4 linked regions of the Tamandua tetradactyla genome follow. The protein of the gene in region 1 purifies or fractionates together with the protein of each later gene. This does not show direct contact. Links are inferred from orthologs where the notes say so. Each region holds a gene or a part of one and is shown in the gene's direction. Other genes may lie near its edges.

Region 1 (7,071 bases):
GGAAAATATGTCTACACGAAAACTTGCACACACATTTTCATAACAGCATTATTCATAACAGCCAAAATTGGAAACAACCCAAATGTTCATCAAGTGGTGAATGGATAAACAAAATGTGTTATATCCATAAAATGGAATATTATTCCATCATAAAAATTATTGAAGTTTGGGGCATGTTTTAATATAGATTTAGACCTTGAAAACATTATATTAAGTGAATGTAGTCAATCACAAAAGAGCACATATTGTATGCATCCATGAAAATGAAATGTCTTGAATAGATGACTCTATAGTCAGAAATTAAATTAGTGGTTGCCAGGGGATGGGGAGAGGGGAGAATTTTTTTTTTTTTTGGCAGGGGAAGGTGATGAAAATATTCTAAAATCAATTGTGATGATTGTATAGTTCAGTGAATATACTAAAAATTATTGATTTGTACAACTTAAAAGGGTGAACTTTATGGTATGCCAATTTCATCTCAGTAAAGCTGTTATATATTTTAAAACAACAACAACCAAAAAAACTGGGGCAAAAAACCTGAATTAGGTTGTAGATGAGGTTCATTCCTGCATCTTTCTCTACTGTTTTGCCTTTCCTGCTTGGCCCGCTCTCCTTCCCCACAACTACTTTTAAGAATTTGCTGTGCATCTTTCTAGATTGTTCTCTTGCTTTTACATTTTATGTGCATTTATTGAACAGATGCTGAACTTGCTCATATGTTAATGAGAGTTTGTCTTTAGCACAAACAGAATTACACTGTGCTGGAGTTAATTCAGTGTTTCTTGGAGCTCTGTGTACGTTATTGCGTTTAAATAAAGGTCATTTTGTAACAGCTGTATAATATTCCATAGGGTGACTATACTACAAATAACCTTCAGTAGTCAGCTTGCTCCCTACAATTCCGTTCCCCAAGTCCATGTTATTTTCTAATTGTGATGTTCTTACCACATTTAGTTTCTATGTATTTTAAAGGCTAAAATACTGTCTTTTCTTTTTCCTTGGTACCCACTTCCTAACAGAGTGCTCTGCCCACAGGAGGAGCTTACTAAATGCTCACAACAGCTTGATTATGAAGGGGCAACAAACCTGTTGAATTCTTTGCCCTTGAAACTTCCCTGCCTTGTACACAGAGCACACTTTCACATAAGGCCTCGAAACCGTGAGACTTCAGTTTAAGACAGTATATCTGCATGCTCTCAGCAGGGATATAATGAGAAATAACGTTCAGTTGATGTCACAAGCTATTCGCTATTCAGACAGTGGTCGTTTTGATAGTAAATTGCTCTGAGTTTGGAAATAATATGCTTCCTGAATTCTGGGGGTGGCTTGAGAGGGGAAGGTAATGGATGGTGAGTTAATATTAAAGGTGGAACCCGTTACGCCCCTATGCTTAATGAAAATGTTCAAACATAGAGGAAAGTTGACATAATTGTATAGCAAACACTCATACACCAACCACCTAGATTCTATCAGTAACTTTTTGCTACTTTTGCTTACTTCTGTCCATCTCCCCATTGGTAGATGCATCAATTCATTTTAATTTTTGATGCATCTCAAAGCTCATTTGTTATCTCAAAGACATCAGGATATTGCACCCCTAAACTTTCAGCATAAATATTATTAACTAGAGTTTTTATGATTAAAATCAAATTTTGGAGGTAACATTTACATCCAGTGGAACGTACCATTCCATAAGTTTTACAGATGTCTACACAGCGTAATCGAAACTTCAATCAAGATATTTCTCAGCATATTAGTTTTCTAGGGCAGGTGTAACAAAATGCCACAAACTATATATGTAAAAACAGCAGAAATTTATTGTCTGAAATGAAGGTGTCAGCAGGACATGTTCCCTTGGAAACCTGGAGTGGAGCATTTTTCCTTGCCTCTGGCATCTGGTGGTTTGCTGCTGGCAATCTTTGGCATTCCATGGCTTGCACCAGCAGCACTTCAATCTCTGCTTCTGTGGGCACATGGTGTTTTCCCCTGTATCTGTCTGTTCCTGTGTCCGAATTTCCTTCTTCTTATTGGGCACCAGCCATATTGGTTCAAAGCCCACCCTAACCTAGGGTGGCCTCATCTTAGGTAATCAAGTCTTCAAAGACTATTTCCAAATCAGGAGGTAGGGGTTAGAACCTGAGCATATCTTTAGGTGGGACACAATTCAATTCATAATACTTCATTCATTCATTCATTCTTGGGAATTCTGACAGATCTGCTAATATCATGGGAGTTTGACCCGGAATCACAGCTTTTAAGACTCCCATCCTGCTTTGGTGAGTAAGAATGGGAAAAAAAACCCCAAATCTGCAAAACACCCCAGCAAAGCCACAAGAGAGTAACAGTGGTAAAGTGAAGCACATCAAACCAAGAAAGGAGGAATTGAACTAACTCTCCTGATGGAACCTGATAAGTCGGCCATTTCAGACCTTTACACTGGGCTCAAGTTGGGAGAGGATATTTCCTTTGGTCCTTTCTGACACCACTTTATGTGTCTATACTTCTTCGTAGTTCCACTTTTATATATCACTCTGTATTAAAAGTTGAAGGAATATGGGAAATCTGGGTAAATGACAGAGAAAATTAACTGGGATGGGGAAGGGAACATTTCCCGGCGAAATCTGTTTCTTAAGAGGTCTCTGGCCTTCTGCGGGATTGGGTGAGAGCTAGAAGGCACGCGAAGAATCTGATTATAAGCACATCATGTCCCAAGTTGTACATCATAACATTTGTCCTCCAAAATTAGGGCACTAGTGAAGGGCGCTGAGAAGTAGTGCTTGACTTTTAAGAACTGCTTTTGAGAGGCCGACCGGGCATAAATTTGAAACGCAAAACTGAAATGTTCGCTCCACATTCCTAAACACCACCCTCACAGCCATCAGCGCAAAAACAGTTGAAAACGCCGAGTCAGTTAAAAAAAAAAAAGTTCCAGGCCAAAATAAACACTCATCTTGGATGCTGCGTAAATTTTTTTTTCTCGGTTACTAGGCATGCCGGTGATATCACATTTGAAACTGTGGAAAATTTTTAAAAAGAAAAGAGCAAGGGGTTATAACCCCGACATGCAAAGGTAAGCCCTGATAACGTTTTTAAAACTTTGATTCAAACTTCTCCTCCTGCCCATGTTTTTAATTTTGACAGTGTTTTTTAGGCAATCGTTCTTTTAACAGCCAGCATTAAAAAAAAAAATTACAGAAAATAATTGCTCGGCAATCTTTTCCCTCCTCTGGCGGGTTTCACCCAGAAACTACAAGAAAGCCTTTTTAATTACTTTTTTTTTCTTTTGATAGAAACGTGTTTAAAAAAGATTAGCAGATACCATCACGTCTTTATTTTTGGTGAATTAGCAACAAAGAAAAGGATTAGCATGGACGGGTACTTTTCAAAAATAATTTTTTTTTTCCCTCTGGCTCCCGCTAGGGTGGAGGAAGTTGTCTCGGCTCCGAGAGAGGGTAGAGAGAGTGGAAGGACAAATGACTGGGACGCCCCCTTCTCCCGCTCCAGGCTCGGAAACGCGGGGGTCGCCTGGGGAGCTGCGAAGAGGGAGGCAGCCAGCAGGTGCCTGGGCTCCAGCCCCCTACACCCCTCCTCAACCCCACGCCCGCCCCCACCCCGAGCTTGGCCTCGCCTCCAGGCGGGCGAGCGCTATAGGTGTCGAGGCGTGGGGGTGGGGGGCGCAAACCCCGCGGGGAGCAGAAAAGAGACCCAAGGGGTCCTCCCGGCACCGGCACACAACGAGAGTTTCGCATCCCCCTCACCCTGCTGGCACACAGCCCCAGCCCTCCACACGGGGAGCACGTCCGAGGCCAGCGAGCCGAGCAGAGCCCCGGGGAGGAGAGCCGGGGGAGGGCGTGTGCAGTGGCAGCAGCAGCGGCGGCAGCGGAGCCGCTAGTCCCCTCCCTCCTGGGGGAGCAGCTGCCGCCGCCGCCGCCGCCGCCACCACCGTCAGCGCGCGGGCCGAGGCCGGAGCGAGCCGGGCAAGCGGCGCGCGCGCGGGGGAGGGCGGGGGCGGGGAGGGGGGTGGGAGAAGGGGGCGGGAGGGCGTGGGGGGAGGGTCTCGCTCTCCCGGCGACCAGAGCCCGAGAGGGAGACCCTGGCGGCGGCGGCGCCTGACGCTCGGCGCCTCCTGCCGTGCTCCTGGGCGGCATGTCCGAGGCTGGCGGGGCCGGACCGGGCGGCGGCGGGGCAGGAGCCGGGGCAGGGGCCGGGGCAGGGGCCGGGCCCGGGGCCCTGCCCCCGCAGCCCCCCGCGCCGCCGCAGGGCTCTCCGTGTGCCGCCGCCGCCGGGGGCTCGGGCGCCTGCGGACCGGCGACGGCAGTGGCGGCGGCGGGCACGGCCGAAGGACCAGGAGGCGGCGGCTCGGCCCGGATCGCTGTGAAGAAGGCGCAGCTGCGCTCTGCTCCACGGGCCAAAAAACTGGAGAAACTCGGAGTCTACTCCGCCTGCAAGGTACCAGCTCGCCGCTCGCGGACCGCGGCTGGGGGCGAAGGGCCCAGCTCTGTGGGGCCCCCGCCCTCTCCCCCTCCCCCTCCCCTCCGCCCCCGCCTCCCGCCTACCGCCTGGGGCCGCTGCACCGCGGAAGTGCTGCTGCCGCCCGCGCCCAGTTAGCTCCTTTTCGGATAAGAGTCCCGTTGGGTTGGAAGAAGGGGAATCACCAAGTCGGAGAACCCGTTCCCCACTCCCTACCCCCTCCTCGGATAGAATACCCTTTGCATTCGCGCTCCGGGGCTGCCCTGGGGCTTCGCTGCTCTATAGGAGCTCGCCGGAGGCGTCTGCTAGGGAGTGGAGCCCTGTTCACGGTGTGGCAGGACGCCCCAGGGTCAGGAAAACATCTCTGGGATCTGAGTGACTCGCTTGCGCCCGGTGCCCCACTGGGAGGGGTTGGGTGCAAAGAGTGAGGGTGGAAAAGACTCTCGGATTCCTTGCTCTGAGAGAGAGAGAGAGAGAGAGAGAGAGAAGGGGCAGGACGCGCAGGGTGGGGAGGTGGACACTGCCCGAGGCGAGGGTCCCTGGAGCGCCTGGAGCCCTCGGCTGGGGGCGGAGGTACTGCAGCGCGCCGTGACAACCTTGTCATTATTGTATTATTACTTATTTAGTTAAAACGCTGTCCTAACTGCTCGGGGTGTAAATAGGACTTGACAAGGTGACAGCCCAGCACTGTGGGCACTGCTACTCAGTTTGAGGATACACGTTTCTTTCCATCCTGTTCTCCATCCCAGCTATCGGTGGCCCCTGGGCCCTCAGCTGAAGACCCAGATGTAGGTGCTGCGCGCCTAGGGTGGGAGGATTGCCCAAGGCCGAGGGGCAGGCTGGCCCTGCACTGTCAGCAGAGGCTTTGTTTTGACAGGGTGACAGCTGAGGGGGGCGGAGACTTGGCCTTGTCAGCCTCTGCGGCCTGTGGCTGAGGCGGGGAAGACTCTTGCACACACTCAATCACCTCCCGTGCACGTATTCTTCCCGTCTGCTTGTAAACAGGGTCAAGTTCCCAGATTTCAGATGGCCACAAGAACTCTGCAGTGACCGCTTCTGAGTTTTGGTGTAAAGGTTATCAATACTGCTAGAATTCCTGGACTGTCTTGGTCCTGCTGTTTTTAGTATTTCCAGGAGTTTCTCCACCTCAATGGAATGACTGTGCTTGCCCTTTTCCCAGACCATTCATCTCTTTGTGTATATATTGAGCATTTGCTGTGAACCTTACACAGGTTCAATAAATATTTGTTGAATGAATGTAGGATCCAGTGCAGTGCTTCTCAAACTTTAATGTACATAGGAATCTCCTGAGAATCTATTAAAATACTGATTCTGAATCAGCTGAGATTCTGCATTTCTAACGAACTCCTATGTGATCCTTTACTGGTCCACAGACCACACTGCAAGTGGAAAAGACCCAGGTTCAGCCTTGACAATGTATCTTAGTCGTTTATAATTCAGCTGAGAAAATTAAAACTATGAAATAGTAATGTGACATGATATTTCTGAAGAAGAAATGTGAAAATGTTAAAGTAGGGAACATCCTTCTAAAAAGGAGAAAGGCTAGGAGTTGGTTATAAAGGGCATTAGACCAATCAGAGTGAGACCTTCAGTGTAGTAGGCAGAATGGAGTGTTGTGCACAGAATCTAGAATAAGTTCAATTACTTGGTGAATTTGTGTTTTGCATTGTCTCATGTAGGGACTGTGTCAAGCTCTGTGTTTCTGTTCTGGTTTTGTATTGGGTTCCCATCTTGAACACCACTTCTCCCCACTGCCTGCTGTCACCTTATTATCTAACAATTCCCTGAAATTTTGAGTTCTTTCTAAAACCATGGGCATATGTGCCCTGCATTGATATTTTTGATCGATCCAAATTTTCACGCATGAGATGTAACCTAAAGGTTGTGGTTTGAGTATTTCGTGTTCCCACTCACCTCTACCACACTTACAAGAAGAAAAAACATCTACAATTCTCCTTAAAACCTTAAAGGCTTCTTGTCCTGCTCCTGGAAAACTCTGAAAGCTTCAACTTTTATTTGCCCATTTATTCAATAAATATTTAGAGAGGTCCCACTGGGTGCCAGATACTATGCTAGAAGCTAGACTGTGATACTCAGAGTCTGTCCTTCTTGAGGTACTGGTCACTCATGTGTGCAAGTGTGTGTTGGAGGTGGACTGTAAAGCAATTACAATAAAGTTCAGAAAAACTGTTTTACAAAATTGATGAGGGAAGCCAGAGCTGGGCAGTTCACGAGATAGAGCCTGAAGAGGATGGAGATGGCTTAGAGAAAGTGCCAGTGGGTGCTAAGGACACTTGGCTGCTCAGGGTAGTAAGGTAGCGTGAAGCTTCTTGTAATGGAGCAACCGAAAACAGTTCTGAAAGGTAGAAAACAGTTCTGAAAGGTAGGCGCTGGGTCAGCAGGAGCTAGCACTCCATTGACCTGGCTGCGAGGGTGGGAAGTTATGGTCATGAGGGCACTGAGGAATGGGGAGAGTGGCATCATCAAATTTGCTTTCTTTTCTTTTTTTTAATACTGGGCTTGGTTGGGTGTGAGTTGGTTTGAGACATCAGAACCTATGGTTCTTTTCTCAGCTTGTCT
Region 2 (6,875 bases), on another chromosome or scaffold:
GTGGGTTCGCAGCCGGTCCAGCTGGTCCAGCCTGGTGGTATGCTGTGTGTCCGGTCATTGACGTAGCCCCAGGAATTGTTCTGCATTGTTTCTGGTTATTTAGTAGCTGTTCTGGAGGATGAACTAAATCCCACACCTTGCTAAGCTGCCATCTCGACCATCTCCTGCCCAGCCCCCGCCCCTGTATGCTGAGATCTTGATCTACGGCTTCTGGTCTCTAAATCTTGAGGCAGTTAATTGCAAACTAAGAGCTGTTCTTCTTCCCCTAGGCTTCATAAGAGGGCCTAAGGGATCAAGGGGAGGCCTTGAGGCAGTGCCTGGAGAGGTGTGCAGAAGTGTGAGTGTAGACCAGGTCTTCACTTGTCCCTGCCACCATGTCCCTGGCCACTCTTGGTCACCACTGCTCAGCTGGCATCAGGTGGGGAGATTGTTGACTGTCCATTCAGGATCTGTTGCTTCAGTGCCTTCCAGGTCTGATGCTCCACCTATCCATCGTAATTCCTCCATCCCCATCCTCTGCTTTAGGGGCACTGTCCATCCTTGGACCTTCCACCGTATTCTCCAGCCATGCGCCGCCAATTAGACCACTACATGGGTTTCCATGGGCTGTCTGTAGCTCTCAGCCATGTAGCATAGACTGGATTTCTGGCATATTGCTGAAGTGTGCAGACCTAGCAGCGTTATGGCAGGCGCCTCTCCACCCAGGTGCTGCTGTCTGCACCTGAGCCCTGCTCAGTGTTACTTCCCCCCGAATCAGGCAGTTTTCCAGGCTGAGCTGGGAGAATGAGCTTCTAGCCTTCCCAGCCCTTGACTAGGTATTTCTAAGCCCCAATTCAGAAGAGACCCCAAGAGTGGGGAGGGGGGACATTGACTCCCTCATGCTGACTGTGGTAGTCTGGAGCTGTTATGTACCCCAGAAAAGGCCATGTTCTTTTAATCCATTCTTGTGGGTGCAGACCTGTTGTGGGTGGGGCCTTTAGATTGGGCTATTTCAGCTGAGATGTGACCCACCTCATTCAAGGTGGGTCCTAATCCTTTACTGGAGCCCTTCATGAGAGGATAAAAGAAGAAAAGCCAAAAGCGCTCAGAGAGAGAAACACCCCAGAGATGCTAAGAGAAGGCCCACAGAAGCTCAGCGAGAAAGCCTCTGGACTCAGACGCTGGCAGTGATGGAATCTGTAGCATGGGACCAGCAGATACCGGCCGTGTGCCTTCCTATGTGACAGAGGAGACCCGGTGCCAGTAGCCTTTCCTCAGAGAAGGTACCTTCTTCTGGATGCCCTAATCTAGACATTTTCATGGCCTTAGAACTGTGAATTTGTAAACTAATACATCCCTATTGTAAAAGCCAACCCATTTCTGGTATATTGCATTCTGGCAGCTTTAGCAAACTGGAACACTGACCTCACTTCTTTCTCCATTATTTTTATTTTCTTACTGGTTTTTTTTTGGTTCTCCTTTCTTATTTCCATTGCATTTATTTTTGTCTCTCCAATTCCTATTCTTTCAATCTTAGCTTAATGTCATTCCTCAGGGAGACCTTTCTTTATCTTGCAGTTTTTTTTTTCTTCCTTACCCCTATATTTTGAATTACCTTAATCCTGACCCAATTGGCTTCATTCTTATCTCTAAATATCAGGTTATACATAAATAAAACAGGAATAGTAATGATCACTCCAGACTAAATGTGACTGGCCTTGCAGTTTAGACTAGGTTTCCCCTCCTGATAATCAGACTATAAGCTGTGCAAGGGTAGGGGTCTGTTTTGTTCACTCCTACGTACCCAGTGCCTAACACAGTGCTGGCACAGTGCTACAAGAGACTAGAAATCCAAATACAACTTTGTTGAGAAAACTATATTGTTTCACCTGTCTTTGTCCCTAATAGACCTTAAGCTCAGAAGGCTGAGGGTGGTGTATTATAAAATCCTCCATTCTCTCAGGGCCCAAAATAGCACACAGCTTCGGAGTCAGTTCCTGGCCTTCCTGTTCATTCATTCAGTACATATTTTTTGAGCAAATGCAGTGGGTTTGCTATTGGGGATACAAGTGTAAGGCCGTCAACGTTTTTTATTAAACATGAAGTACATCTGTATTAGTTAGTAAGCTGCTGGAGAGTGATATACCAGAATTGGAACAGCTTTAATAAAGGGGAATTTAGTTACAGGTTTACAGTTCTAAGGAAGTGAAAAATGTCCAAATTAAGGCACCAAGAAGAGGTTACCTTTACTCAAGGAAGGCCAATGTTCTAGTTTGCTAGCTGCTGGAATGCAACACACCAGAGATGGTTTGGCTTTTATTAATAGGGGATTTATTTCATTAGTTCTTCAAAGGAAAGGCAGGTAACTTTCAACTGAAGTTCTTTTTTACTTGGGAAGGCTCAGGGTGATCTCTGCTGGTCCTCTCTCCAGGCCCCTGGATTCTAACAACTTTCCCCAGGGTGATTTCTTTCTGCATCTCCAAAAGCCTGGGCTGAGCTGTGAGTGCTGAGATGAGGTATGCTGAGCTGCTTGGGCTGTGCTACATTGAGCTCTCTCATTTAAGCACCAGCCAATTAAATCAAACATCATTCCTTGCAGCAGGCACGCTTCTTAACTGACTGCAGATGTAATCAGCAACAGATGAAGTTCACATGGCATTGGCTCATGTCCACGGCAATAGATCTAGGCACCTTCACCTGGCCAAGTTGACAACTGAATCTAACTACCACAGCCAATGTGTCCGGAACACCTCTGACAGCTGGGAAGTCACATGCTGGCATCTGTTGGTCCCTTGCTCCTGGGTTCTGTTGCTTCCAGCCTCTGTTCCTGTGGGGATTCCTCACTTTGCTTCTCTGGGGCTGGTTTTCCTTTCCTGGCTTCCCTTGGCTCTCTCCAGGTTCTGGCTTGCTTAACATCTCATAGCAATGTCTGCTGGGCTCCAAGCCTCTCCAAACATCCACGTCTCCGTTCTCCAAGTGTCAGCATCTGTGTCAGCTCTGCTGTTAAGTTCCTGTAAGCTGTGGTTTCTGTTGTTTCTGACTCTCTCCAAAATGTTTCCTCTTTTAAAGGATTTCAGTAAACTAACCAAGACCCACCTGGAAAGGGTGGAGTCACATAGCCATCTAATCAAAAGATCACAACCACATTTGGGCAGGACACATCTCTGGGGAGATAACCTAATCAAAAGTTTCCAACCTACAGTATTGAATCAGGATTAAAAGAAACAGCTGCTCCCATAAGACTGGATCAGGATTAAAACATGGCTTTTTGGGGTACATAATGTTTTCAAACTGGTGCAACATCCAAAAGAATTATATATGTAAAGTATAAAAAAATAATAAAGTGCCACCCCCCCGCCCCAGCTCTAGTGATGCATTTTTAAATAGTGAGGGGATGGGATTGAGGAGGAGCTGAGATGGACTCCTGGAGCCCAGCTGGGAGTCTGTGACCATCTTGGGCAGTCTTAAGGTGGGCTAGAGGGGTACAGGCTAAAGGAGAGGGAAGGTTGCATGAGTTTAAGAGACATTGATTTGATGGATTGTCATTCACTAGTTGTGTGACCTGGGTAAGTCCCAACCTTTCTGAGCTTCAGATCCTGCACCTGTAAAATGGGTTAGTAACTAACTATAGTTATTTGTATTCCTAGCATGTAGCACAGAGGGTGGCATCAGATGGCACACACAAAAAACCAGCTGTTATTGTGGAAACTTCATAAATGTCAAGAGAACCAAGAAACTGTCAAACTTTGGGCTGGCTCGCCAGCTGTTCGGCTTCAGAGAGGAAAATGAGAAATGAGGGTGCCAACCCAGGCCCCGCCTACGCCTCGCGAGCCCCGCCCAGGCCCCGCGAGTCCCGCCCCGCCGCCGCCGCGCGCGCTCCCGACGCGCCTCTGCCGCTGACGTGCGGGACGGAACGGCGGGCCCAGCCCAGGGATCGCTTAGCGTCCGAGGGGTCGCCGGGCCGAGTGTGGCCCGCGGTGCCTTGTGTGCGTCTGCCCGTTTCCGTGTCGTCTTACGGCGCCCGTGGGGCCTGCGCTTCAGCCGGAAACCCGGAAAAAGGGTGAGTGTCGGCGGGAGCGGGACTGCACCGGCCGGGCGCGCGCCGCGCTCTCCGGGGCATTGTCTGGGCGGGGCGGCGCGGGTACGCGCGCGCTCTCCTCCTCCCACCCCCCCCCACCCTCCCGCCAGCCGGCGGCCTCTGAGGGGAAGCGAAGATGTCGGCAGAGAGGCCGGACTCCCGGCCAGGAGCCTGGGTCCAGGTGAGGGTACCCCCGGGAGCCCGTGTCAGGTGAGGGTCCCCCCGGGAGCCCGTGTCGGGTGAGGGTCCCCCCGGGAGCCCGTGTCCATGTGAGGGTCCCAGGAGCCTGGGTTTAGGTGAGGATTCCTCCCAGGAGCCCGGGTGCAGCTGAGGGTCCCCCCCTGGGAGCCTGGGTGCAGGTGAGAGTTCCCCCAGGAGCCTTGGTCCAGGTGAGGGTCACACAGAAGCCTCGGTCCAGGTGAGGGTTCCCCCCAGGAGCCTGGGTCCAGGTGAGGGTCCCCCCAGGAGCCTGGGTCCAGGTGAGGGTCCCCACAGGAGCCTGGGTCCGGGTGAGGGTCCGTCCCAGGAGCCTCAGTCCAGGTGAGAAACCCCTGGGAGATCCCCCTGGGGAGGACCTGGCACTGGTTGTGTCTGTGGGGCTTGGTGGACATGGTATTCTGGTGTCCGGTGGGGTCTGGAGACGAGATTGGCCCAGCAGCAGCAAATTGTGGACCCACCAAGAAGAGCCCTGGAACTTTCCTCTCCGCCTGTCGCATGCCCTGCCATCCCTGTCCCCCTGGGAGGATGAGCAGGACTTGGAAAGATGGATCACCCAGGGAGTTAGGGAAGGCGAGCCCTGGGAGAAGTCTGCTGGGTGGGATCGCAGGAGGCAGTGAGTTTGTAACAGTCTCTGTTGTTCTTTTTCAGAATGTAATGGTGTTATCAAAAATAGAAGGTAGAGGAGGGAGCATATCCCAGTAATCCCACAGCCCTGATTTCTCCATTCTTGGCATTTTGATGTGTCTGCTAGAATTTACACATGCCTTTCTTTTCTATGAATTGTGATTAAAGTTTACCTAATTTTCCATTCCTTTTTCTCTTAACGTAGAAATGTTATGTAATATTATTTAGTAGCCAGCAATACCATGTTCTCTATCCTAATAAGAAAATAGCAAGTATTTACTTTAGAAAAATAAAAATACAGACAAGCAAAAGGGGAAACGCCACTGACTGTTATGGTCCAGGGGTGCTACCTGGGGGCGTAGTAGCTGTGGGTGGCTCTCGGCAAGGGACAGGCGCGCCCTGCTCAGAGAGCTGGCAAAGCCGGGCGTGGACAGGAGGCCCGGGTGGGAGCAGAGCACCTGAGGCCCCTGGCGGCAGTTCGTGGACAGCGGTGAGATGCAGGAGCACAGACAAGACACAGGGAGGGGTGGACTGGTGTATGAGGGGAGGGATGGGTAGCAGCTGCTTTGCTTTTTGTTCAGAATGACCCAGGTGGACATGCTGTTTACTGAAATGGGGAAGAGTAGAAGAAAAATAAATTTGAGTTTTATTTTAGATGTGATAAATTTGAGATGCATGTTAGCGGTTGTCAGTATGTGGAGGTCTGGAACTTGGGGAAGAGAGAAGTTAGGAGTGGAGATAAAAATTGGGGCGTAATCAGTACATAGATGGAGTCACAGCTGTGGGACTGTACACACAGGGACAGAGTACAGACTGAGCAGTGAAAGGACCCAGCACGCCTGTGAAGAAAAGCAGGAGACTGGCACCCTGCAGGCCCCAGGAGTTCAACTTCTGGGAAATAGAGAAGTGGCCTCTTATTAGTGTTTCTGTCAGGCAGCCAGCTGGATTTGGCAACTTGGAGGTTATTGATTTGGTCACTGGTATTACTGTGAGTTCTAGAAGTTGCTGATAGAAGCCAGAGAGCAATAGTTGAATGAGGTGTGAAGACGCGAAGCCAGGTGCGAATTAGGAAAAGGGGCCCCTTCTTTGGACACCTTATTTCCATCTGCCCCCAAACTAAACTTGATGGAAGAGAAATGGTGCCTTTTAGTTTTTTATTTTCTTACTGGTTTGTTTGAACTTATATTTCATATTTTTTTGCCATTTGTGAATTCTCGCTGCTGTCCTCTGTCCACCGTTTCTTTTGTGTTTGCTATTTTCTAATTTAGTATCGAGTTCTTTAGATGTTAAAATATACATACCTTCATATATAGCTTACAGAATTCCCTCCTGTGCCAGTTTGAGACTGCTGTGTACCCCAGAAAAGGCAAGTTCTTCAATCCTCATTCAGTATTGCTGGATGGGATCTTTTTGATTGTTTCCATGGAGAGGTGACTAACCCAATTGTGGGTGATAACTTTTGATTAGGTGGTTTCCATGGAGATGTGTCTCCACCCGGTCAAGGTGGGGTTGCTTACTGGAGCCCTATAAGAGGGAACCATTTTGGAGAAAGCTTTAGAGTCAACACAGAGATCTTTAGAGATGCACAAGGAAAACGCCCCTGGGGAAGCCTTATGAAATGAGGAGAGAAAGCTAGCTAAAGTCGCCTTGAGCCCTCCCAGCTGACAGAGATGTTCTGGACAGCATCAGCCTTTCTTGAATCAAGGTAACCTCTCGTTGGTGTTTCAGGGCCTTAGAATTGTGAACTTCAACTTGATAAATTCCTTTTTTAAAAGCCATTCCGTTTCTGGTATATTGCATTCTGGCAGCTTTCACAAACTAAAAGAGTCCCGTCTGTTTTTCATACAGTTTTAAATGCCTTCACATTACTTCATTCAGTGGTTGCAGTATAATTTGCTATGGGCTATTTGCTGGTTTTTATTATAAAGTATATAGGAATATATAGGAAGAGGAGAACTAATGTTTAAGTTGTAAA
Region 3 (7,707 bases), on another chromosome or scaffold:
CCACATATTTTTCTTATTAGATAAATTAATACATATGGTTCCTCACAGCTCCCCTTTAATGGGTTTGTTCAATTCATCTCCCAATGGCATTAAATGGCATTTTGTGACTGGGACACCAGAGGGCACCACTATAACACAAGCTGCCTCAAGAGTCAGGCTTGGGGTTGGGGTATTTTTCTTTTGAGGGAAGGCAGAAGATAGTTCTAGTTTGATTATTTAAGAGATTGCTGTATTTTTATAACTCAAGCTTGAAATGTAAACCATGTGTGAGATGACTGTCAGAGAACAAGTGACCAAGTCTCATTCCCCTGAGCTCTTCTGCCTGCCTTTGCCTTTCTGACTTGGGCTTGAGTTTGGGAACTCGATATGTGTACAAATGATCTGTTGGCCAGTGTTTCATTCATCCTTCCCGCTGTATCCCTGCAATGTGATCTGGACTGCAGCAGGTGGTATGGGGTAGAAGGATGAACAGAGAGAGCCATCTGAAATGAACACTACCCACTAGTGTGTGTAGGAGAGGATAGTTCAGACATACGATTCTACATGTTGTGACCATTTTCACACTCCTTTATGGAGCATTTGAGCGGGGAGCACAGTTGCATACCTAGAAGTTGGGAAAGTATCTGGGGTTATAAGGGTTAATAAGCATAATTGCAAGATTGTCCGAAGGCTGATGGAAAGCAGAGACTGAATGGGATTGAGAACAGATGCGAGGCTTGATTTAAATTACATTTTATTGGATACTGCAACCTAAAGAGACGTGACTGCTTTACAGTTAGTTTCCACACTGTGGGCAGCTGCTGTCTGTTCTGTGTCCACAGTAGGATCCTGCCCAAAAAGGAGCAGCCTCCCCACCTCGTTGTATTTGAGGCTTGGCGCCTTCCTCTTAACTGTGGGGCTTGAGTCAGGAACATGGCTTGACTCGCAGTGGGGCTGCAATGTATCCTCCGTGGCTGCCAGCCAAGATCACATTTGCAGATTCAAAGGAGCCAAATTTCTCTCTACCTCCTTTCTCTCCCTTTCCCCTGGTATTTGGAAATAGGTTTTTCTGAGTATTGGTTTGTTGGTTTCCTTTCCTTCAGTTCTCCCCCCACTCAATTTCTAGGTCATTGCTGCTCTCAAGACTTCAGCAATTGGAACAGGGTTGGTTCTGTCACTGATGCGTGAAGCAGACTTAGAATCCCTGCCTGGCTTCCGCTGCCCTTGTGGGAGCAAAAGCCGATGTATGTTTGTCAGTAAAGTCTTAAGTGTAATTCAGACAGCCAGGGAGCAGGTTGAGAGGAGGAAGAAAGTCCTTTCCTTGCTGGCTTTTCTCACTTAGCTATAGCTAAGAGCTATAGTAAGGTGGTCAAATTTTTAGTGGGCTGGGCTGAGCTTGTGGTTACTAGTTTTTGCCAGGATCATCGGCTGCTTCACATGGAGTGGTGGCAGAGATGCTGACATACATTTTTCCTCTTGAAGGTGGTGGGATATGTCCTGATTTGTGTGTGTGTGTGTATATATTCCCCCCCCCCCCAAAAAAAACAAGCTTCTTAGAGTGCTGGTGGGTATTGCCATGGAAAAAATCAGGCACAATAAAGTTGGCGCAAGTTTCAGCCTGAGCTGCCACCTCTGATACCAAAAAAAGTTGGTGGACCCCTATTCCCTACTCCATCCCCCCCAACCATTGGTACCTACTTTTATTGAGTGCCATATTAATATACACCAATGAGAACTGGGGTGTGGAGATGAGGTAGAGCTTGGGGACTAAAAAATAACATTTTTTTCAAGAGGTGTTACCTTGACTGCAACTGAGGAAAACCTAGAAGAGAGCCAAGGTGGAGATTTTATTCACATTTGGCTCTATCCCCAGTACTTAGTTCAGTATCTGGTACCTGGTGGGTAATCAATCCATAATTGTTGAATAAATGGATAAATGAACCCAGTAAGATGCTGCCTGTCTTCCCATTTTTAAACAGTTCAACATTGTGGGTGCTTTTGCATTGGGATGTTGAGCAGGCCCCTGCACACGAAGGGTGTTCCATCTTATGAGATGTGTCTTAGCACAGTTGTGGGGCATTTATTGGCCTCATAGATGCCTACCACTCAGTCCCTCTGATGTGGCATTTTGCTTGAGGCAACTTCCATTTTGCTCCAGGGACATTTTGCTGTAAGGAGAGAGTCCTACCTGAAGGCTGGGAAGAGGGGTGCCTGTCTGGATGTCACCTAGTGTTACTGGAGATTGGCCAGAAGCTGTGCCTTCAGTTGGCAAGGGATTAGGAGGGAACCCACCTTTGCTTTCCTGCTTTTTAACTTTGGAGAAGTTGTCAATCTCACCATCCTCCCCCAAAAAAATAAGGTGCCATCATAGGCATAAACAGCCCAGGTCTCCCTCTAAAGATCTATAGGGGAGAAGGCCTGCCCTTTGGTTTTCCCTTGATTTCTAACCCCAGCCCTAAGGCAGTAGAAGCTAATTGGGTACAAGAGGCCTGGGTAAGGTTCTCTGAAGACTGGCGAAAGGAGAAAGCAAGCTCCTTTTTAAAACAGCTCTAATTGAGTTCTGAATCAGCCTCACTCCCTTTGATCTCGCCTCTGTTTCCCACACTGCCTGAAAGAGCTAGATCAGCACTTTATAACAAGGGTGCGCCTGCTCCCCGTGCCTCCCCCCACCCCCTTGATGCTCTGCTGCCGCCATCCACTGCTTGTCTCCTTCAGTTAAGATAATGAAGATGCTGAGAGATAAAATGTGTATTTAATAAGGGTGGGGGTAGGGAGCAGAAAGGGGCAGCCAGGGCCTTCTAGTTTGGGGCCTAGCCAAGATGAGCTTTGAAAGCAAAGCTAGAGTAAGACTTGGCCCCAGGGTGTAGGGGTTTCTGGGCCTCAGTCCAGCTGACTTCACTGCCTACTGTTGCCCTAAATTCCCCCACCTCCACCCTCTCACCCCCACACTTCCCTTCCTCTCTTCTTGCTCCCAATGGGAAAAAGGACTCTTGCTCCAACTTTCTTTTTCAGCTGGTAATTTGGCCTTTCCTGTGGTGCCCCCACTGGAGTCAGCTGCAAGGTTGGACTGGGGCAGCCCCCTCTAGCCTAGGCCTGTAGAAGCTGTGGGTTCATGGTGGGGGGTGAAAAGCTGGAGTTAATGAAGACCAGCTGCTAGTCTGGGTTCTGCCTCCAGCTAGCTGGAGGCCAGCCTTTGGTAGTGGTTAGAGGTTCTGGGGTATGTGACCTCCGTCCCTGGGCACAAGGATATCCTGTGGCAGATGAGCCTTGTGCTTCTCTGCAGCTTGGTTTTATCCTCAGTTTGTAAGAGAGTAGTCTGTTTCCTTCTTCCCTTACTCCTCCTTTCCCCAAATAACACTCAGCCCTTACTGAGCTTTATAACTAGTGGTGGCCCAGCTGAGATCTGAGGAGCTCCAAGCCCTTTTGTAAACACTCATTAACTCTGCCTGGGAAGAACCAAGAGTCCTGTTTAACAGCTGGGAGAGAACTGAGGCACCTCGGGGTGAAAGGCTTGACCTGAGCTCACATCACCGACTCCACCCTGGGGCCCTCCATCCTTACTGTCTAGCTCCTTCCCCAGTTCTTCTTGTAGACAGAGGTGGAGGCAGTGCTGTTGCCCTTTCCCCTTCTAGGAAAAGGCCATGCTCTCTCCCTCCCTTAAGTCTGTCCCTGGCTTCCCTGGCCTTTCACCCCATGACATTTCCCCTGCTCTGCTGCTAGAGAAATGTGCAACCCTCCTTGCAAAATGTTCTCAATCCACCCCTCTGTAGACTTCCCATCCCCCCCTTTCTTTGCCCACCTATCCCACCAAACCTGAGTTTTTCTCTTTGAGCTACTGAGAAGGTTGGCTATCCTAAAGTAAGTCAGTAATTCATCTGACCAACTCTTCTGCCTTACATTTATGTCCCAAATGGCATCTGGGGAAAACTTCCCTTTCTTTAATTTGTTCATTCTGGTAAAAATCCAGAACCCTACTGAGGACTGGGTCAGAGCACTAGCTGACTTTTAGGTTCTGCATTCTGTTCTGATATTTACAATTGCCATTTCTGTCAACCGATGTAGCTGAAAGTGTTTTCTCCCTTCTCCCCTAGCCCTACTTGCTCATACCCTCACCTGAATATGCGTATTTATATCCACACACACAAATGCACACACCTCACCCTCAGGATGTAAAGTTCTATCTTTTTTCAGCTGCAATTCAGGTCATCCTGCCCACTTTACTTACCAGAAAACCAAGTAGATATTTCCCCTCAGATGGCTCCTTAGGCCCTTAGAAATAGTGGGGAGGGATGGAAAGCCTTTGCTCTATCTGTGAAGGGAAGGATAGTAGGTAGAAGCAGGCATGAGCACCCCACCCCTTCAAAGATTAGTGCTTGTCGCTCCAGTTTAGTAGGGGTAACAAGAAAAGGGATCTTAACCCCATCTCTAGCACTAAAGCCCAAATCCATCTTCAGGGAAGTCAAGAAGAAATGTTTATTCCCTACTCTCCCGTAATATCCTGTCCTCAGCTAAGTCATCCATGTGCTATGTATTTGGGACTTGAGACCTTTCCTATCCCTAGACCGTGACTCAGACTTCCATCTTTCCTCCAGAGTGTTATTTCTCTCCCATCGGTTCTCAGCTCCTTATCTCTGCACCTGCTGACCTAGTCAGAGCTGGTAGAAGAGGGCGGGGAGATCCTAGCATTAGGGGAGTGGACTTTAGGACCCAACGGGAGCCTGTGCTTCTTGCAGCAGCCTAACCAGAAGCAGGGGGGAATCCTGAATCGAGCTGAGAGGGCTTCCCCGGTTCTCCTGGGAACCCCACCATACCCCTGCCAACACACCTGAGCAGGTAGGACAAAACACACCCCTTCCCAATTATCCCTTGTCTGCTTTCTACCCAGGTCTCTCTGCTTCTGATCTTACCGTTTCCCTCTTGCCAGTTCAGGCTTTCCCCATCCCTCCTCCCCCATTGCTCACTGTGTCTTGGGAGGTGGGAGTCTGGGAACAGCGGGGTGTCTGAAAGCTCAGAGGCCCTGAACCCTCCAGCACCCTTCCTGCATTTTCCCCAAGGCATTCCCCAATCTGTAGCTGAAACTGGAAAGTGGGAGGAAGGTCTGCCCAGGCCCCACGCCCTTGCACCTACCTTTGCAGTATTGCCCAATATCCCTCACCAAGACAAGAAAATTGGCAAATGTTGGGGTGATAGAGAGTGGAGGGAGCAGGAGGAGGGACCTTGTGAGGGAACTGAGGTCTTCCAGGTTCATCTCACACTTGGGTGGCCAAAGGCTTTGCTGGAGGGTGGTGGAGGTTGTCGGCATTTAGGTGGCCTTTCCCTCTAGGGAAAGTTCAGTTAGAGCCCCTCATCATTGCCAACATGTCAACACCCATTGGAAAGATCCCTACTGACCTGGGGTGTGTGTGTATGTGAGGAGAGACCATGTGGTTGTAAGCTCTGTAAGCTTTGAATGTAGGTGGCTATGGTAAGGGGAGGGATCCCGGAGTATAACCCAGGCTAGAACAGACTCAGCCCATATGGCTGGGGAAGGGGGTGTGGACCAGATGGGAAGACCTCCCAGCCATGCCAGTTCCTTGGGTGCCTTGGCTTCAGAGACTCTGGCTCCTGGTGTTACCCCAGAGCTGGGAGGCCCTGTAGCTCCCACCCTCCTGCAGCCTCTGGGAGAGGCTAGATGACACCTACTGTTTGCAGTGGCTTATTTTCCCCTCCCGTGGTGGACTGATAGGCCCTGCTTTCTGAAGATCAGAGTTATCTTCTTCTGGTTCGGTAGGTTTGCAGGAGCGGGTGTATGACTTGTCTAAGTAACTGCCTGTGAATCTGTATATTGCCTCTGGGAATAGTAGAATGGGGAGGTGATAGAAGAGAGTGGGAACTCTTTGGGAGAACCCCTGCAGTTCTCAGTGTAGTAGGGGTGGGGTGGGTGGTATGCCCCCTGGTAATGCGGTCTAGGTGTGGGCTGTGCTCTGCATTCCTCCTTGGCTTCCCCAGAGTCCCGAGGGTTGGGCTTGGAGGACAGGGCAGATAAAGCACTGGCTTCAGACTTAGTTCAGCTCTTGACCTGAGGAGGGAAGTAGAGATTCTCAGTGTGAGCAATAGCCTGGAAGTAGAGGGCTGAATTTAAGACTCAGCCCGGATGTTTAACAATTTGCATTTATACAGGGTTCCCCACTCTCTAAGCCTCTTTCTTCATCTGTAAAAGTGGCTATCAATAGCAAGCCCTGCCTGCCTGACTGGACACTGCCATAAAGACCCCACAAAATAATGTAAATCCTAAAGCCCAGTGTAAATGGTAGTGATGGTCTGGGCTTCTCTCAGATGGGCTCCTCTTCCTAGATCTAGGTCAAGCTCTCTGCCTTTAGGTTCCTTCCCCTGTCCTTGCTTATCTGAGGGATGGAGGAGCCAGGCAGGGTTATTGCCCCAGGGGCTACAGAATTCCCCTACTGTAGATTGTGGCTGTCACAAGAGAGCCTGTGGTCAAGACAGGACAGATGTCTCCAGCAGCCTTCTCTTCCTCTGGGACTCCATACCTTCTCCCCTAAGCCCTGTCTTCACTTGCCTTCTGCCATCCCTGCTCGGAGTCCTTGTCCCTGTCTCTCCCCTGTCCTGTGGCCTCCGTGTCCAGCTCACTGGGCGAGAGCCCTAATCGGATTTGACAGCTGAGATATGTGTGGCGGCTGAGAGCTGGCAGGAGGGAAGCCAGTGGGAGGATGGTGTGAGGGCCGCCCCTGGCACTGCCCAGGCCTCCTGAGTGCCACCTTGAGCCTGCCAACTCCTCAACCTGGCCCCTGGGAAGTATAGGATCAAAAGTCTGGCATCTGGAAATTAGGGACGGGGGAAACACACCGAGGTGTTTGAAGGGCTTCATGTCAGTATGTCGACTCTGATGGGGACAAGAGGACAGGGAAGTCAGGCTGGCCTCACCTCCTTCCTATCCCCACCACCCCAGTTTTTTCTCTCCTCTGGTTCAGCAGAAGTGTATTCACTTTCTCTAGCTGATGCCTTTGGCCAGCACCTCCTTATGGGTCACATCTAGGAGTTGCTGGGGACACCAAGCATCTACCTGGCTCTGGGCTGTTTCCTCCCCTCCGAGGTATTTCACTCACTCTCTGGGCCAGGCGCCAGGGCTCCTGGGCTCCTGGGTTTCCCGCCTGCCTCATGGTACGGGGCTCCCCTGCAGGTCTCCAGAGTCGCTAAGCTGGTTCCTTCCTACTGTATGGGGAGGGCCTTCTCCCAGCACTGGGAGGTGTCAGGAATCCCAGTAGGAGAGGAGTGAGGGCACAGTAGCTCCTGGCACTGCAGCACCCCGACTCCCGGCTCCTAGTCTCTAACTGAGCTTAGGTGCAGCAGATGCAGGTGGCAGGTCTGGCAGTTTGGCCGTCTTCTCTTCCAGGCTTCCATCTTTACATGTGGGTAGCCAAGATCTTCTGCTCTCCTTTGAGCCTTTTTCCCTACGGTATCTGGGAGTGGCTATCGAAACCCCTCTGTCTGCACCCACACATTTTGGGGAGCAGGAGATTAGCGTAATTGAGGCTGGGGCACTATTTTATCTTGCCTCCAGTTGGGCCGGGGTGAGGGAAACTGGCACTAACTTCCACAGGTCAATTCCCTCTACCCTCAAAAGACCAACGTGTGGAGCCAGGCCCTGCCCTCTCAGTGCCCACAATGTGGTTGGCACTGATTTGTCAGGAATTGGGAAGGTTTCCCTCCAAACTGCTCACCTCCTCACTC
Region 4 (7,602 bases), on another chromosome or scaffold:
AAGAAAATGGGGAAGTAAGTCGTGTAGCTATTCAGGGACTGTATTCCAGGCAGAGGGAATAAGCAATGGAAAGACCCTATGGAGAGAGTGTGCCTTCAGTGTTTGAAGAGCAACAGGGCCATTGTGGCTGGAGCAGAGTAAGCAGAGGGTCAAAAGTGGTAGGACATGAGATCAAAGATATAATGGGGTCAGATTACAGCGCCCCTTATGGGCACTTTTAATGACTTTGGTTTAACTCTGAATGAGGCAAAAAAAAAATTTAAGCAAAAAAGTGATATGACTTGACTTTCATATTGAAATGATTATTCTCATCGCTGTTGTAGGAATAGACTTATAATGGGGCAAAGGTGGAAAAGGGGAGATAAAGTTTGCTTACTTATTTTTGAAAGTGAATATGCAGATAATCGCGGTAAATCCAAATGGTGTATAACTTGTTCGTCTTATACTGTTAATGCTGGTTAGTTGAGATTGTACCCTACAGAATCACAGGAGAACTGATAAAGTACAAATTTAGGGATCCCAAAAACAATTGAAGAGGAGTCAGCATTCCATATGCCAGAATCAAAGTTAAGTAGCATATCTGGGCAGAATACTAACTCCATATTCAAACTTCTGCACATCCCTACTAAGAATCCAAAGATGAATCAGGCAGTTTCCTGCCCCCAAGAAGCTTTCAGACATTGTTGAGGAAGATAAATAATAGCAGAGCAACCAGAGTGGTCAGTTCTAGGAAAGAGAAACAGTTTTGGAAAAGAAAAAGCAGAGGTATAGATAGCAATGATTGAGTTGAGTTTTTAAAGTTTTGTATGACAATTTACCAAAATATTGGGGTTAGCAAGTCAGAGATGAATGAAACACTCCTTTTGAGTGATTGTCATGTGACTGAAGAATGTGAATGGGGGTGTGGCAAATGAAGATGAAGAGATGAGTAGGGAACTTCCTTTAAAAGTAATTAGTCTTTGACCTGTACGCGTTTTAAGCAGGACATAATATGAGATACATATTTTGGAAAGACCATTGTGGTGATAATTTGAAGACTCATTTCAGTCAGTGGTTCTCAACCTTGTCTATGTATCATACACCTCTCAGAAAGTTTTTAAAACCCAGATTTCTGGGCCTTGCCTCAGCTTTACAGAATCAGAATTTAGATAGGTAGGCCCCAAGATTTTGATGTGTTGACAATTATGGTGCAGCTAAACCAGCATTTAGAAATATAGCATTAGTGACTATTTCAGTAGTTTGTTTTGTTTATGATTATATTACTAGTCCTTAGCACAGAGCACCCAATAAATGTTAGAGGGACAATAGTCTATTTTCTCTCATGATGTTTTATGAGGTGAGGAATCTTGGCAATTGGCTTATGACTAGGCAGATCTCCTGAGTAGGTATGCAGATTGATTTTACTTTTGGGATCCTCACCATACAAAGAATATCCAGTAAAAGAAGAGTGGCAATTAACAGTTGGCCTACTGGTATTTTAAATATTATCTTATCTGTGGAACATATGTAAAAAAATAATAATTCATAAAATAATTGAACAAAGCTGTTTAGAAATATCCAAAATGGTGAAGATTTACTATGCTAAAATAAGAAATTAAAAAGCAGTGGAAAAAAAGGATTATATTTTTAAAGCTTTTAGGTAACTGTTGAGGGAAAAAAAAATTTAGATTCCAACCTTACATTTCACCAAAATAAACTCCAGGTGGTTTAATGAACTAGACAGAAGTAGAATAAGATATTTTTCAGATCTTTGGAAGAATATTAGAAGACATATCAATGGAAAAGATTAATTTGACTATCAATATTTTTAACTTGTGCAAGATAAAAGAGAAAACAGATTCCAGAAAAAATTAACATCTAATATGACAAATGGCTTATAATATGTGAAGAAATTATTTAGGTTTTTAGATCTTGAGGGATTACCTTTCAGTGTTATGCCACTATCACCAAATTCTGTAGGATAGGACCAGGCCTGCCCTTCCTGCTTATAAAACAATCTCAAAAATCACCTCGCCCAAGGATAATGTGCTGTCATATTATGTACATTAGTTCTAGGAATAGCTCTAGAACATTTTTAATATAAAATAAAATGCTTCAGCTTTTATTCACTAATTTTCTAATACAAGTTAGAAAAACTTTATAAAAGTGAGTATAATCAAAACCAGGATGTTGCTGTGATTACCATACAGCTGTTGAGCAAATGAAACAAACAAGACTGAATTAAAATGTTCAGATGGCTGCTCTGTACAAATTTAAAATAAAGTTTAATGGGAGTATGAGAGGTAGATTGAATTGCCATCCTCTTATCCTCTCCCCACAGTGGTTGGCAATACCCATTAAACATTGCCTTTCTTTGAAGAGATGCTGGACAGCAGAACAGAGAACATGGCTATTACAGGTACCTGTCAATTAGGACTTCGGATTTACAAGGAGATTCCAGGAAAGAGCATGGCCACGAGTCCATCAAATCCTAAATTCCACAGCCAACACCTATAACTTCTTTATGTCCTTGGAAATGTGAAGTGACAAATTTTAAACTTCATAATAAAGAGCAAGACTTATGAATACTTATCTTGGGAATTAGAATGGGTTTCTGGGAGACAGCATAGTGTAGTGTTAATAGCATGAGGTCTTTGGTGCCAAACTGCTTAAATTAGAATAAAGGTTCTGAACACCATTTATTAACTCTAACCTTGAATAACATATATAACATAATGATAACAGTATTTACATCACAGGGCTATTTTAAGGATTAAGTTAACATGAAAATGTTTAGAATACTACCTTGTACATAGCAAGCAACAAGTAGAAGTCTTTGCATTTAAAGCTTTAAGCAAAATGCCTATTAAAGAGTGAACTTGAAAATTTCCTTGGATTTTCTTCAGGCCTGAGGCTAACCAGTACTGTTTAACAACAAGATATAATTTTCACCTATCAGCTTGGTAAAAAATTTTAAAAGAAAAAAAGGTCCATGATCTATAATCTGCTGAGTGCATAGGAAAATGGATGTACATGTTCATGGATTTGCAGAGACACAAGTAGGTACAAACCTTTTTGGAGAGCTAAATGGCATAATTTTTGAATCAAGCATTTCACTTCACAGCATTTATCCTGTAGAAATACTGACACAGTGAAAAAAAAAATTGTACCTTCAAAGCCAGAAAGTTTTTTTCCTCTAAATAAAGAGAATTGAGGGATTTAAAAAAAAAATTATGCCTTAATTGATCAGAAATACATCCAGTCATCTGCTAGCATTTTTTTCCTGCTAACATTTTGAATAAAGTCAGAGATTTACAATCAGGATGAATAAAGTCAGAGATTTACAATCAGGAATGCTGTCAAGCTTTCTGTATATCATAAGTAGACCACAATGACTTGAAATGTCTGCAATTATTTTGTGTTCTTGTTTAGCTATAAAAGAATAGTATACATTCTCTGTAAAATGACTACTGCTTATGAACTTTGCATACAAGATGCTTAATAAGACAGTGGCTCAAAATAGTTTTTCCTATACAAAGTAATTTCAAGATGTAATTGTTACTTTCTTGCTATAGTGCTGTTTTAGTTTCCTTGTTGCTAAAGCAAATAGTGGGATTTATTGACTCCTGGTTTTGAGGCTAAATAAGAGAAGGCTAAATAAAGGCATGTATCATCAAGGTGATGCTTTCTTTCCAAAGACTACATTCTGGGGCTGGCTGCTGGTGATCCTTTGTCACATTAGCAGTGCACGTGGTGGCCTCTCCTGGCCTCTTCCTTCTCTTCTGGGTTCCACTGACTTTCAGTTTCTTGCTTCCCATGATAACCTCATCAAAAGGTCCTACTTAGAATGGGTTCACACTCACTGGAATGGATTAAGTTTACGAACATGTTTTTCTGGTGTGCATACCTCCAAACCCCACCACAAGTACTATATGTTAAATAATAAAAAAAAAATAAATATGTGAAAACTGCAGCACCACAAAGATTCAGTTCTGAAACAGTCATAGAAATGGTTAAGCAAACTATTCAAAAGAGAATTTGGGGTGCATGGGTGGTTCAGTGGTAGAATGCTTGCCTTGCATGTGGGAGACCCAGGTTCAATTCCTGGACAATGAAATAAAAAAGAAAGATTTTGTGTATATTCTTAGCTGATTTGCCCTCTAGTACACTGTGAAATAGCACCTATGCAGACAATTTCGGTAGATTTGTACTTAAAAACAACATAGATGCAATTGATAATTTAGAGTAATACAGTGGCCTTATTTGCATGCTGAAAATCTGCTTGTTTCCTTCTGGTCCACACAACGTTTGTTCCATCTAAGTAGTAGTAAGTAAGCAAATAGCACAGAATTCTTCTCTATGGGTGCTGTAACCCATGGTCTAATAGAAGTAACTTATGTACTTCTGTGGGAGCAAGAGTGATAAACTGGACTGTTCAGATGTAAAAACTCCTAAGAACTTTGGATGCTAAGTTTTAAGCTTAGAAATGTTTAGAATACCACCTTGTACATAGTACACATGTGGAGATTATTAGATAAAAGTTCTTTATTAAACCTTTATTACATGTTCTTTGAATGCTGTAATCTAAAGATTGTTTATGTAATAATGAACATAATGATTTTCATCACCTTCTACGTCTAATTTAGGTTTATCGACTCTTGAAATATCAGATTACTTGTTTCTTGAGGTTTATTTTACTTCCAGAATTCATGTTTACACTCAGATGCTTGTTCTCATAGTCTGCCCTGACTTATATATTGTCCTTTGATGTTTTATGCAACATCATTTCTCTAATAGGGCAATCATTGCTATCTTTAAGGTTCTGGAGAAGGCAAGTATTTCAGAAGGTATGGAGATTTTCTACCACCATGGTTAGCTTAATCAGATATCCTTTAAAAACATGGCAAGTAATATAAAGATACAATTTTTTCTCCAAGTATTTCATTTGGGTAATCATTTGTGGAAGATTGGTTGTGTTGTTCAGAAAAAGAGGGGGTAATAAATGTGATTAAAGTGGCTGATAACATTCTTTTTTATTTTTATTTTTTTGCTGATAATATTCTTAACACCTGAATTAATTGTGGCATTTGAACCTAATATTCAGGTTTATCATCAGTCATTGATCACCATTCTTTTTTGGTGGTTTTGCTTGAACTACATAGGAATCTGTTTGCCACAGCCACTATTGCTTATCACCCATGACTGGGAGGAGGTGGGGATAAAATAGCAACAGCATCCACTAGGGCCAAAAATAGACTGCTGGCTCAAAACCCAGGGTGAATGCCCCAAAGTGAAGAGATTGTCCATTTTAGATCGCATGGTCTGGGGACTTTTCAAACTCTTTCTAGCAACAGAAACCACTCTTCTCTTCCCCCATTGAATATTGTGCAGAATCCTTATTTATGCCTAAGATAGATAAAAGCTCTATTTTATTATTATACACTTTAAAGTTCAAATTTAAAATATTTACTTAAAGTCAATCGATGGGGCAATTCTAATGCACATTAAAATATTATTACAGATTGTTGACATTCTTGTGCTTTCATAGTAGCATAGGCATCTAATTTATCTGTAGTTTTTTAAATTGTACATCATTGAGAAAATCATGATTCACATATATAAGTAGTTACAAATGGTAATGGTTTTATAGCACACCTTAAATCGCAAGATACTCAAGTTAAACTGATCTAGATACTTAAACTGAAATTTTTACATCAGTGTTATTAACAATATGTAACAAGTGTTCACATTCCTTATAAAAGTATAAAAATATAAGCACACAAAGAATAAATGCTAAGATTATATTGTGATTAGTGTCACAATACAACCATTAGGTATTTACTTGTTGTAATATAAGATAACATGAGCATACACTGAAAGCCTGCCTGTTTATTCGAGTGTGTCGTTCCTACGATTGAACCTTGGTAGCTTTGCAAAAGATCATCTGGAGGGAGGAGAGACTTGAGGTGGAGACCAATTATGTACTTCATTCATAGGATGGGAGGAGAATTAAGTGAAATTATGCAGGCAGAGTCCTTAACATACTGTTACGTGCTTAGTAAATGGTACCGGCTGCTTTCAATTTAATAAATTGGCTTAAATAATGGGATTGAGTTGAGGGGTCACAGGAGAGCAGCTGAGTATTTGAGATTGAAGAAATGTTTTCCATTAAGATAAGCATAGTGGAGGAAGAGGAAAGACTTTGGAGTTAAAAAGGCCTGGGTTCAAATCCCTTCTGGTATGTGACTGTGCGAATGCCAAATAAATTCCAGATGAGCCCCAATTTGCTCATATGTAAAAGAGGGATAATATTTAACCTATAGAGCTAGGCACGTAGTAGGTTCTAATCAACAGTTCCTGTTAAGGAAGAATCTAAGTATCATGCCACAACCTTTTCCCCTTCCTTTCGTATACCTGTATTTACTTGGTAGACTGTTGTGCCAGTAATAGATAAGGTGCTGCTGCTTAGTAGACAACCTGAAAACAGTAGTTTATTATAACTGTTAATAAAAATTCCTGTAGCTTATAGTGAGTATTGTTCTTGTGGTAGTGTAGAGGGTGTGTGGGAGTCAAGAAACTGAGCAGATCAGTTTGTTGCTGTAACTGATATGCTTAGCAACTCTTGTGTTCAAGTCATTATGTACAACTGTAGATTGTTCCTCTAGACTTACTCGGGGTTCTGTATTTTGAAACTGCTTATCAGTGGCTATGAAGGTACAGTTTTTGACTAAAATAAAAACTTCCTCTACAATTTGACATGTCAGGGAGGTAACATCTGCTTGAAAAGATTTAAAGCTTGATCATGAACTTCTTGTGTGAGTTCCTTATGTCTGCAGTACTTCAAACATTTGTATAGCTGTGTAAAAGAACATTCATCTGGTAGACAAGTCTCTAGTTACATGGCATCTTCTAATCCAGCTATGGTAACAGAAGAATATAAAAAGTTTTATTCAAACTAAGCCAAACTAACTTACATAAACTTTCCCTTTCAACTTTTCTCTTCTTTTTTGGTTAAGTAGGATTAGTTCTGAACGCAGAAAAGAAAAATCTAGAGATGCAGCCAGATCTCGGCGAAGTAAAGAGTCGGAAGTTTTTTATGAGCTTGCTCATCAGTTGCCTCTTCCCCATAATGTGAGCTCGCATCTTGATAAGGCTTCTGTGATGAGGCTCACCATCAGTTATTTGCGTGTGAGGAAACTTCTGGATGCTGGTGAGTTTTTTAAGAATTTAATAGGCTGAAAATTAGAACTAGAAATTGTTTAGAAGTTGTCAAAATATTTTGTTTTTTGTATACCCCATTATGTTATAACATACTTGAAAAATTTTTCAATAATCGTATTTTATGAAGTTTGCTTTTCTAATCAGTATAGTTAGAAATAATCTCTTTATATTGTAAGTTTTGCTCTATTCCCTTAAAAACACTCTTAGTTCTTCTTTAATATGATATATTTTTTATTACCTGTCTTTAAAGCTTCATTCAGGAATTTTTAAACTACTAGCTTTTTTCTTTTTCATTTTCTTCAGTCTCAGTTACCTACCTGTTTTCTTTTTAATAACGTGACCCTTTCTCTTTTCAGTGGTTTGCCTTGTTGCATTACTTTAAATAATCCTGAAAAGCAGTTG

Evidence for each region.
Region 2: the proteins of KAT2B (region 1) and YEATS2 purify together in Homo sapiens (affinity purification with mass spectrometry; 3 studies listed by BioGRID, with this or other methods). This does not show direct contact. The link is inferred for Tamandua tetradactyla from reciprocal best matches to the Homo sapiens genes KAT2B and YEATS2.
Region 3: the proteins of KAT2B (region 1) and RARA purify together in Homo sapiens (affinity purification with western blotting; 3 studies listed by BioGRID). This does not show direct contact. The link is inferred for Tamandua tetradactyla from reciprocal best matches to the Homo sapiens genes KAT2B and RARA.
Region 4: the proteins of KAT2B (region 1) and HIF1A purify together in Homo sapiens (affinity purification with western blotting; 4 studies listed by BioGRID and IntAct, with this or other methods). This does not show direct contact. The link is inferred for Tamandua tetradactyla from reciprocal best matches to the Homo sapiens genes KAT2B and HIF1A.

Annotation. Positions count from the first base shown.
Region 1 is NC_135341.1:68,209,416-68,216,486, reverse strand, and holds the start of KAT2B (histone acetyltransferase KAT2B), read left to right. Parts: upstream 1-4,052; 5' UTR 4,053-4,146; coding exon 4,147-4,449; intron 4,450-7,071. UniProt on the Homo sapiens protein: Functions as a histone acetyltransferase (HAT) to promote transcriptional activation. Has significant histone acetyltransferase activity with core histones (H3 and H4), and also with nucleosome core particles.
Region 2 is NC_135328.1:124,425,981-124,432,855, reverse strand, and holds the start of YEATS2 (YEATS domain-containing protein 2), read left to right. Parts: upstream 1-3,868; 5' UTR 3,869-4,039; intron 4,040-4,160; exon of another isoform or gene 4,161-4,238; intron 4,239-4,301; exon of another isoform or gene 4,302-4,536; intron 4,537-6,875. UniProt on the Homo sapiens protein: Chromatin reader component of the ATAC complex, a complex with histone acetyltransferase activity on histones H3 and H4. YEATS2 specifically recognizes and binds histone H3 crotonylated at 'Lys-27' (H3K27cr).
Region 3 is NC_135332.1:27,028,853-27,036,559, reverse strand, and holds the start of RARA (retinoic acid receptor alpha), read left to right. Parts: upstream 1-4,705; 5' UTR 4,706-4,812; intron 4,813-7,707. UniProt on the Homo sapiens protein: Receptor for retinoic acid. Retinoic acid receptors bind as heterodimers to their target response elements in response to their ligands, all-trans or 9-cis retinoic acid, and regulate gene expression in various biological processes.
Region 4 is NC_135338.1:3,074,138-3,081,739, reverse strand, and holds the start of HIF1A (hypoxia-inducible factor 1-alpha), read left to right. Parts: upstream 1-4,594; 5' UTR 4,595-5,958; coding exon 5,959-6,044; intron 6,045-6,995; coding exon of another isoform or gene 6,996-6,998; coding exon 6,999-7,189; intron 7,190-7,602.